Ovis aries: one gene and its partner. The protein of the gene in region 2 interacts with the protein of the main gene of each other region in a biochemical or structural test. Links are inferred from orthologs where the notes say so. Each region holds a gene or a part of one and is shown on either strand. Other genes may lie near its edges.

Region 1 (5,918 bases), about 2.2 Mb from region 2:
AAGGGATCTTCCTGATCCAGGGATCAAACCTGCATCTCCTGCATTGGCAGAGGGGTTCCTTAACATTAGCACCACCTGGGAATCCCAAGGCAAGTGGAATTGATGTTTATTCACCACATGCTTCCCAGGTGTAGCTTCTACACTTGGTGCTCACCTTTTTGGTGCTCTTATTCAATTATGATATGCATACGGAAACTAAATGTTATGGACTGCCTTTGGGAATTTAAATAAATATGGACAAAAAGCTACTTCTACAGCTTGCGGGGGTCAGGCTGCTCACGATCTCTTTAATTTCTGTCAATAACTTCCTATAGTCCCCTGAGTTTTCTCTCCTGCAGCCCTGTAGTCTGAGCTGTCCTGAGTGCAAGGTTCAGTGTCTTCACCCATTTCCACACACACACACAAATAAAACAAAACCAAAAAACCTATACTAAGAATTTTGTTGGGGGATTTCCCTGGTGATCTAGTGATTAAGACTCTATGCTTCCACTGCACGGGGCATGAGCTCAGTAGCTGGTCTGGGAATTAAGATCCTGCCTGCTGTGCGGTGCAGCATGCTGTGTGGTGTAGCAAAAACAAACAAACAAAGAGAATGTCATGGGTTCAAATCCTCTACTGTAGATTTGGAAGTTCACAAGGAGCAGATTCCATCATGAAAAGGGAAGGTTTCTAACACGTGAGAGGCTCAGACCCTATCTTTCTCTTCCTATATCTGCATAAGCAACAGCTTCCCCCATTATAACACAGAAGTATTGAACCTACAGCTGGATTGTTTGGGGAAGGGAGGTCTTATCTTCTGTTCTCCATAAAGAGCAGCTTATACTCTTCATAAAGCATTTATGAAGCTCTTTATCCTAAAGAAGCTCTGTTCCCTCCCAGAGAGGAATTCTAATAGTGGTTTCTTTAATATGACCATGAGTTCTAACCCAGTAAGGTGTAGGAATCCTATCTAGATGGTAAACTCCTTGAAGGTAGATCCTGTACCTTATGCTTCACACGCATTCCCCTTTCCACATGACACAGTATAGCGCAGGGGGCACTCAATATGCACGTGGTGGACAAGTGATTTAAGTTAAATTAAATTAGGAGCCATAGAATGAAGCTTGGAGAAGACTGCCATATACCCTTTGGCTGGGAAATTCCATGGACAGAGGAGCCTGGAGGGCCACAGTTTGTGGGGTTGCAAAGAGTCGGACATGACTGAGCGTGCATGCACATACACAAAATAAGAAGGTCTCAGAAGGAATGCAGGGTCACCTTCTGAATGGCCCAAGGCAGGAGTGGAAGGGAACAATCAATGACCTACTTGGCAGTGCTTTATTATAGCCGAATGGAACCAGAAACAAGGTGTGCATCTGTGCTCTCAGCACCATCTGTGTTCCCATTTTCAAACCACCACTTCCTGTGGCAGGGACTCTGGCTCTTTTTGTTCTCCCTCTTTTTGCTCATATAGTGAGGCCCCTCAGGATGACGATGCTCAGAAATCAGATCAACATTGTTCTGGGGTCCACAGGTCCCGGTCTTTGTCCAAAAAGAATCCTTATCTGAACAGTCTTCTTTAAAAAATAAAAATAAAAAAATCATTAAAAAAAATCTTTATTGAATTTGTTACAACGTTGTTTCTGTTTTATATTTTGGTTTTTTGGCCAAAGGCACATGAGATCTTAGCTCTCCAACCAGGAATCAAACCCACACCCCCTGTACTGGAAGGAAAAGTCTTAACCACTGCCAGGGAAGTCCCTGAACATTCTTAAAGAGGAGACTTAGGACTTTCCCCCTCCGTGGAACCTCTTAGAGACAGCTGAGCAGGCTGGTTGAGAACTCCAGTGCCATTTATGAAGAGTTCTTTGCGTGAGTTTCCATCCTTTGGTCTTCTATTTGATTGGCTGTGCTTTAGACCTGATAACTCGGCAGGTAGCCACGCCTCTAAGGAAAAGGCTGAAGGGCCTTTTTTATTTATCTCTGAAAGTCTGCTGCCACAGAAACACAAAAGTCTCTCTCAAGTCCCCAAATTCTAATTGTTTAAGGGAAGATAAAGAAGAAAATAAAAAGGATCTGAGAAACAAATGTAGCTCACCCCAGGAGATACCGAGATGCTAATATAACGGTCTGAGAGCGCCATATCTCTTTCCGGCCTTTCATGTGGTCTGTCAGCAAGGCTGTCTGCCTGGAGCACATCAACGTGAAGAAGTCAGTCATCTTCAAGAGACACCTTTTTGTTGGTGGCAGCTTCCTCTCAGAATTGGGAGTGGGGGAAGGGTGGTCCCAAACCATACACTAATTTAAGATATGGCGCCACCCAAGTAAAAATTATTACACAGAGTTCTCAGCTTCCAGAAAAATCCCTCACACTTGCTATCCCACCCAGCATTGCGTTGCAGGGACGACTGGGTGTAACCCCTGGGGCCATTTTCATCCTTCCCCGACAAAGCAAGTCTTGTCCAGTCACATGACTGGCCAGCTAAGGACTCCATTTCTCAGCTTCCTGTGTAGCAGGTGTGGCCACGTGACAGGGCTCTGGTCCATGAGAGGGGACAGGTTTCATCCTTCCAAGATTGTTGCCATGTTTCCTGGGTTGGGAGTACCAGGGAGAGGGACTTGCCTGTACACAGAACAGCTAGATGACTCAGTAGCAATGGGAGCTCCCTTTTGATGAGATGGCCTTGTTAGAAAGGGGGAGCCCCCGGAGCTCACTGGCAGGCGTCAGATTTTCCTTCCACTGAGCTAACCTAGACTTGCTGAGCCAACCTTTTGCTAATCTACTGAAAGGGGTCCTCTTTTCAAAATGAGCTCCCAGGGGCATTCCCTCTGAGTTCAACTGTTTAAGGTTTAGTATTACTCACTACTGCACAGACAGAACTATTTCAGAACACAGTCATGAAAGATGGCAGCAAGTCACTCACTGTCCAGTGCTGACCCACATTAACATGACCTAGGAGAAGGCTTGGTAGCATCCTTGGATTTGTTTTTTTGTTGTTGTTGTTAGTCACTAAATCATGTCCAGCTCTTTGGGACCCTGTATACTGTAGCCTGCCAGGCTCTTCTGTCCATGGATTTCCCAGGCAGGAATACTGGAAAATACTGGTTGCCATTTTCTTCTCCAGGGAAATTTCTTGACCCAGAGATTGAACCCGCATCTCCTGTATTGGTAGGTAGATTTTTTTTTTTTTTCACCACTGAGCCACGAAGAAAGTACTTTGTAGTAAAGAGGCTTCATAACAATAGATATGAAGGTATTTCTTGCTGTAAAACACTGAGATAACAAGTGGAATAAAGATGAATATATGATGGAGAGCCTGGACAATTGTTAGGAAAAAAAGATCTTGAAAAACAAATACGTTCTTGTGTGGTTTAGTCTGAGTCCTGATGAGAACCAGTGCTGACATCATGTTACATTTGCTTTCATCACATCATTACCATTCGAATTTTTCATTAAGGAAAGTGAAAAATGTCTCAAGATCACTGTCCTTATTATAGATAACAAAGAGACCTCTAGCAAATCCTCATACCCCACCACATCATCCCAAGACTGGGATTTCCCTCCCTTGAATGAGATCTTTGTTAAGGGAACAACCAGTGCTCTGGCTCAGGACTCATCATCTCTTGATGGGTAACTGCAATAATGGGCCCTCCCCACAGCTAGTTTCTTTTTCTTCTGCTTCTTCCCCACCACAGTCTACTGTCCACACCACTGAAAATTCTCTCTGAAATGCAAAACTAATCACATTATCCTCTGTCTAAAACTATCTATTAGTTCCCATCAGAATACCATAGGACAATACAGAACAAGGCCCAGTTATATCTGCTTTTCTCTCTGCCTTGAGTGTCTTTCTCTTATCTGTTTGGGTAATTTCTATCTATTCTTCAACACCTAGTTTGTGTCACATTCTCCATGATGCTCTTTCTGATTCCCTGAAACAATGTCAATCATTCCCTCCTCTGGGTTAACTTGCACATATTTCTGTTTTGCCCCTATTGTACTACTTAACCTGGAATAATAGTTACTTATAGAGCTATTCCCTTTCTTAAGAGCAAAGAGTGTGTCTTTTTTTTTGTCTTTGTGTTCTCAGCACCTAGCACAACGTTGGAACATAGCAGAATCTCAGTAATGTTTTGTTTGTTGAACCAAGCATGGTATTTTAAAAATCAGTGATATTCTTTTGCAAACCCAAATCAACGAAATAATAAAATTCTGTTTTCCATATTTAGGCAATCTGGTGTACTGAAAATGGCATGCCACAGACTAGCTGTGTGATTTGGTTCTCGAATGCTGTGGTTCCCCATCCCTGGAGGCAGGGCAGGGGATCTCTATTTGTGTTATGGGTTGACTGTGTTTCCCCAAAAATTCATATGTTGAAGTCCTTAAAATGTGACCTTATTTGGAGACTGGGTCTTTACAGAGGTAATCAAGTTAACATGAGGTCATTAGGGTGGATCTGAATCTAATCTTACTAGTGTCCTTGTAAGAGGAAATCTGGACATACAAAGTCGCTAGGGATGAGCATGCAGAGACCACATGAAGACACAGCAAGAAGACAGCCATCTGCCGTACAGGAGGGAGCCCTCAGGAAAAAATCAACCCTTCCAACACTTTGATCGTGGACTTCTAGCCTCCTTTCTCCTGTGAGAAAGTAAATTTCTGTTATTTAAACCACCTCATCTGTGGTGTTTTTGTTATGGCAACCCTAGCAAAGTAATTATAGGTGGGTCCTAATCCAATATGACTGGTGTCATTTTAATAAGTGGAAATCAGGACAGATATACGCAGAGAGGGAAGACAATGTGAAGAGACAAAAGGAGAAGACAGTTATCTCCAAGCCAAGGAGAGAAGCATGGAACAGCTCCTTCCCTCATGGCCGTCAGAAGAAACAACACTATTGACACTTTGATTTTGAACTTCTAGCCTCCAGAACTGTGAGACAATAAACTTCGGTTATGTAAGTCACTGACTTTGCAGCACCTTTTTACAACACCCCTAGGAAATGAATATACAAACGGTAATCCTTCATTAGCATTTCTTATTAATGTACATAAAAATGGACTTATAGACTACTTACTCGGGAAAGAGCTTCAGGAGTTCACCCTTTTCAGTTTACATATAATGAAACAGAGGTCCAAGAAAGTGCAATGGCTGCTGAGTAGTTGCCTTAATGCCTGAGTTGAGGTCCTGACAGGGTTTTCCCATGGTTCCATGTTTCTGCTGCTTCTTGTCCCTCCCCATCTCATGAAGGCCTGCTCCATATCCAGTAAATCTGGTCACACTAGTGCATACTCGGTCCTCAAAGTGGTTTAGATGGACCACTCAAACATCTTTACATGTTTCTTTTTTCTTTCCTTTTTAAACATTTTATATTCAATTTTTATTTTATTTTTTGGCCATGTCATGTGCCATGTATGATCTTATTCCCTGGAAAGAAAAAGTGATGTCGCTCAGTTGTCTCTGACTATTTGCAACCCCATGGACTATAGCCTACCAGGCTTCTCCATCCATGGGATTTTCCAGGCAAGAGTACTGCAGTGGGTTGCCATTTCTTTCTCCAGGGGATCTTCCTGACCCAGGGATCAAACGTGGGTCTCCCTCATTGTAGGCAGATGCTTTATCCTCTGAGCTACATGCCCTGTGCTGTGGAAGTGCAGTCTTAACCACTGGACAACCAGGGAAGTCCCTTTATATGTTTTTTTAAGAATGTCCTGAACTAAGTGCCTCTAGCAGAAGCTTTATGGCCAAGACTTTGAGATGCATTAACTAAATTCTTGTTAAACCATACTGAGGAACATGAAGAGAATTATTCTTCTTTTCTGAGATGGGTCAGGGTAAAACATTTGGTGCCCTAAGAGGGTTGCTATGGCCAGAGAAGGCTGTGCTGAGGTGAGGACTACCGTTTTTTCAGCTACGAAGGAAAAACACACATATTTGT
Region 2 (5,125 bases):
TCATATGACCTGTTCAGTCTTCTAAATTTCAGGGAACTATGCAGTGACATCCACATCAACCATTAAATGTGGCTTGCTCGTTTGAGAAATATGGCTGAAATCCCACCAGGGATCAAGCTCCTTGTAAGGTGCTATGCATAGGTGCTCAGGAAAAAAGGAAATCACTTCTATGAGAGTAATAATGGAAAGGTCTTGAATTAATAATCACGTTCAACTTTTGAGATGTAGAGAGTTCAAACAAATCTTTGCTATCCAGAATGAGTGACCACATTTCATATATATTGATTTATTCAGGAAATTTCCACTGACCATGTTTTCTATGCCAAGGATTGCTGCAGTCCCAGATAACTGGAACACGCTTCTTTGTACCATGCAGAATGAATCACAGACCTGGGGCCGAACCCTGGGGAGCAGGTTTGCTTCTGGTGTCCTGTACTGAACCAGCCAAAGGTATGCTGATGTGGCTCCTGCAGTTCCCTTCTTCTCTACTATGGTTTGCTGTGCCCCAAGAAGTCAGAATGGCTCATGCTTTTGGGGTTCCAACCACAGTGTCTGTTCTTGTTTCCCAGAAATCCAAGCTCCTCTCTTTAATAAGGCCAGTGGGGTGAAATGAATCACTAAGGTTTGAAGATGGATCAGAGAATGGGCATAGCATGTGGTACATTCCACACTAAGCAGGCCTTAACTTAAAATGTGAACTAGCAGAAAAATACAAAGGGCCTTAGAACCAAGGCAACAAACCCTTCGGGAATGGGCTCCTAGTCAGTAATGTCTCTAAATGGGGCACAGTTTGTGCGGCATGCACTTCTATGTGCTGTGGAGGATTCATGGGGAGACTCAACCACACTTTAAAGCCTAGTCAGAAAAAGCACTAACCACTTTAACAGCAGCGACGTGGTTCTGCACTGTGACACGCCTTCAAAATCCCCACATGTGTCACAACGCAGAGCCCCGTTGCTGCTGTTAAAGTGGTTAATGCATAAATGAAATTAGGCAGAATCAAAGAGGAAGTGTCTCCAGGGCAAAGTTTAGCAGGGAAGGAGATTAGAAAGAAGGTGGGTCACCCAGGCTGGAGGGAAAAGGGTGCATGAGTGGGTCTGGGCTCCCACCATCACCAAGACCAGCACAGGCAGATGCAGAGAATGTGTTGGCTGTTTTGGGAGTCTGAGATCCAGTATACACGTCCATCACTCAGGGGCTCCCCAACGCCACCTGACTCAACCAGCTTCAGCAAAGAGGCTGGGGCATCGGCTGTCCTCTGCCCAGCCACTTGTTTTTCAATGAAGGAACAGGCCTAGAAAGAGGAAGTGGTTTGTCTGCAGTCACATCATCATGACTGGAACTCAGGCTCCAAAGTAGACACCAGCACTCTCTTCTCTCCCAGTTGACCAGATGTCAACTGTCTTGTAGTGGTAGTACCTTTAACAAGTCAAGAATAGGTTCAGGTGGTCCTATTCCAAGAAAGAACAGTGGGAGGGGAAATGGGGTTTTGAAGCTCCTCGTTTGGTAAGCATGGGAGGCAGGGCAAGGGGACTGATTTCTCTGCAGCTGGTGAACAAAACATCTTCAGTCACTCAGAACAGGAGAGTCTAAATTGTCCCCTAGAGTTTGGTCTTCCAGACCCACACCTGCAGGAGAAGCAGGATCGCTGGCGAGAGCTGTCACCCATCTCTTCTGTAAGCGCTTCATCCAGTCTCCATCCCTTCAAGGCAGGACATCCACATAGTCGCTGCCACTGTTCTCTGGGGAGAAAAGGAGACCAGCCGTGAGGCTCTGCACCCAGGAGTCACCCTGACCAACACCTCTCGTGGGAAAGAAGCCCTCTGCCCAGGCACAGGGTGGTCTTGATGCCACAGCAGAGTGACACCTTCAAGAGCTGGGGCACCACAGGGAGCTCTCCTGGCAACATAGGGGGCCTGTTTATAAGTCAAGGACAAGAGTTTCCAGCACCAGATGCCTCCACTCACCAGCAGAGAACCTGTGCCGCCCTGAGGGTGAGAACACGTGAGGCTTGTTCTGAGGTGGCCAAGGGAACGGGGGCGGGGGAGACGATGAGCAGCTCAGAAGAAGTTCCTTCCCCCTTAATGGCTGAGGATTTGGGAGCTCGTTCTGCCAAGGCTGCCCGAGCTTGGACAACTGGTGTGGCGAGATTCCCGCTCAGCTCTTGGAATGAACTCCAAAGGGTTCTCCTCTTGGGATTTGTGGTTATTTTATTATCCCTGAGACAAATACTACCGCCACCCTCAAGCACCCCGAGCAGCTCATCAGGGTTTGCCTAAGGACTGCAGCACGAGTACATCCCTAGGTTGCTCCTCTGCCCCCCTTTTATTCTTTGTATTTTTATTTCTTTCTGTAAGTTATGGTAGAAAATGGCCATGGGACCACATCTGCAGCTATAACTATAGCAAGCAACTCTGTGATGGGGTACACACTCCTCTGCCTGGGGGAGGGAGACAGAAACAATGGGAGGGGAGGGCTGTTTTCTCATTAAAAAACTGTGTTCAGTCTTGGGGAGGTGAGAAGCTTTCTCTGGCAGTCTAAAGGGCAGCGAGGCTGTAGACAGAGTACAATGGGTATGGGGTGACTGCAGACTTCCTGGAACCCTCTGTTCCCCTCCTTGCTCCCTAGCTAGCACTCTGCTCCCATTACGTCACCTGCCCACTGAGGACTGAAATCCCTTTAATGGGGCTCTAACCATACATTCCACCTTGAGAAAACAGGGTTAAACTGTAAATGTCTCAGGAAGTCTGAGCTAAATTCGAACTATGTTGTGACTGATGGATACTAGATTCTTTTCTGCTAACAGATTTCAAGGGGTGTACACAAGAGTCACTGCTTGGGATATGACCTGGATCCTGTGCACTCAGATTTACTGATCCTCTGCACTCTCATTTCCCACCATGGCTTGATAACTCTTGGGGTGTATCTGAAATAATTAGCCCCCTGCTCCCTACTAAGGCACTCCAGTCATGTCTGACTCTGTGCGACCCTATGGGCTGTAGCCCACCAGGCTCCTCTGTCCATGGGATTCTCCAGGTAAGAATACTGGAGTGGGTTGTCATGCCCTCCTCCAGGGCATCTTACAGACCTAGGGGTCAAACCCACATCTCTTATGTCTCCTGCAATAACAGGCGGGTTCTTTACCACTAGGACCACCGGGAAAGCCCAATTTGTCCACTAACACCACATAAATGAATGCTTAGCAAATATTGAGCAAAATGTAACAGGATGAGGCTTGGAGAAGGAAGTTGAAGCAATTTTCTTATTTGAAAATTCTGCTTTTTGGCCATCTATTCCCAAATATGTGATTGGCACAAGGTCACAGGGTGAGTTTGAAGTTGACTCATGGAATGCCTGGGAGAAGGCAATGGCACCCCACTCCAGTACTCTTGCCTGGAAAATCCCATGGACAGAGGAGCCTGGTAGGGTGCAGTCCATGGAGTCGCTAAGAGTTGGACACGACTGAGAGACTTCACTTTCACTTTTCACTTTCATGCATTGGAGAAGGAGATGGCAACCCACTCCAGTATTCTTGCCTGGAGAATCCCGGGGACAGAGGAGCCTTGTGGCTGCTGTCTATGGGGTCGCACAGAGTCGGACACAACTGAAGCGACTTAGCAGCAGCAGCCGCAGCATGGAATGCCCGGGGACCACTATTTTCCCTGGGTTGCCTGAGCACAGAGAGCTCTGTGCGTTTGCCACCACCAGGAGCATGAAGGCACTGCTTCCTAACAAGATAGAAAAATGCTATTCGCAGGATGAGGCTTTCTAGAGCTAACATCATAGAAAGGAGCAGTTATCTGTATGGATTCTGTAGTAGAAGTGGGACTAAGGCTCTTGTCTGGGCCCCCTATGAAAGTTTTTACCATAAATACCATCCAACTCTATCTTCGATCTTCTCCATCTCAGGCAGGATCTGGTTCTCTTTATTGGGTTTACGAGGTGAAACATCAGTCCTTGATTTGGCTTTTCAAACTTGGAGATCAGTTCCTTCAGGTTTGGAAAGATCTCTCGTTTAACACCTTCCACAGTCTGCAAAAATACAAGAAGGAGAGCACTCATCACCACGCAACTATGTGTGAAAGGTGACACTTCTCACAACAGTGGTTTTCAGGGCTGCCTCTGAGCAGCGAACTGAAAACAAGTGGCTGGCATTTCATGTGTGGGAGCTCACACCACACACAAAACACAGAAACCTTCCCTCTAAAAACAGAGCTCTGGCTTGAGCTACTGTGAGTAAAGAGGATTAACAATCAAGGGTCCCCACCTCAGTCTGCAGTATTGAGTGAATTCCCATCTATGGCAATGTGGGGGCAGCTCTTGTCCGTACCCTGTGGAGGGTAACCCCTCTAAGAGCTTATGTGAGAGTGTAAGCGACTAATGCAGGCAGACTTCAATGGGAAATGCAATTTCTGTACTTGATGGTGGTCCAGTGGTTAGGAATCAGTGCTGTCACTGCGTGGTCCTGGGTTCAATCCCTGATCAAGGAATTAAGATCTTGCAAGCCACATAGCCAAAAAAAAAAAAAAAAAATCATAAAAGCCTACATACTTGAATTCAGAATCTCCGTGAGAGGAAAATAAGACCAAAATGTCCGGATTTAAATTGAAAATGGAAATGTCAGCATGATTCAGGTAAAATTATGAACAGTTGTTTTCTGTTTACCAGCTATAAGCAAAGCACAAATTTCTAGTCATTTAAAAAAAAATAATAACGCTTTCACTTTTTTTTTGATGTGGGCCATTTTTAAAGTTTTTATTGGATTTGTTACAATATTGCTTGTTTTATGTTTTGGTTTCTTGGCCATGAAGCATATGGGATTTTAGTTCCTCAACCAGGGGTCACACCTGCACCGCTTGTGTTGGAAGGCAAAGTCTTAACCAGTAGACCTCCTGGGAAGTCCCTCTACTACAATCTTACAGAAATAATTGTAAAACAAAAAAGCTTCTTCAGCTCTTATGTAGTTGTGTTTCTTGATGATCACTGTGGTTCTCAGAGGGCCAAGGTATTGGTCTGCAGAGACGGGTGGTGATGGGAAAGCTCTGGGAACTGCAGTGTGTGAACCTCCGTGACAGAGACTCCGGCTGAGCTGGAAGTCGGCTGCACGAAAGGCTGTTGCATCAGC

What was found.
Region 1: the proteins of SH2D1B (region 2) and SLAMF1 interact in a test that uses a peptide from one of them, tested with the Homo sapiens proteins (2 studies listed by BioGRID). The link is inferred for Ovis aries from reciprocal best matches to the Homo sapiens genes SH2D1B and SLAMF1.

The regions. Positions count from the first base shown.
Region 1 is NC_056054.1:111,728,121-111,734,038, forward strand, and holds the end of SLAMF1 (signaling lymphocytic activation molecule), read right to left. Parts: intron 1,557-5,918; coding exon 1,321-1,556; 3' UTR 1,304-1,320; downstream 1-1,303.
Region 2 is NC_056054.1:113,920,827-113,925,951, forward strand, and holds part of SH2D1B (SH2 domain-containing protein 1B), read right to left. Parts: intron 4,033-5,125; coding exon 3,867-4,032; intron 1,743-3,866; coding exon 1,705-1,742; 3' UTR 1-1,704. UniProt on the Homo sapiens protein: Cytoplasmic adapter regulating receptors of the signaling lymphocytic activation molecule (SLAM) family such as CD84, SLAMF1, LY9 and CD244. In SLAM signaling seems to cooperate with SH2D1A/SAP.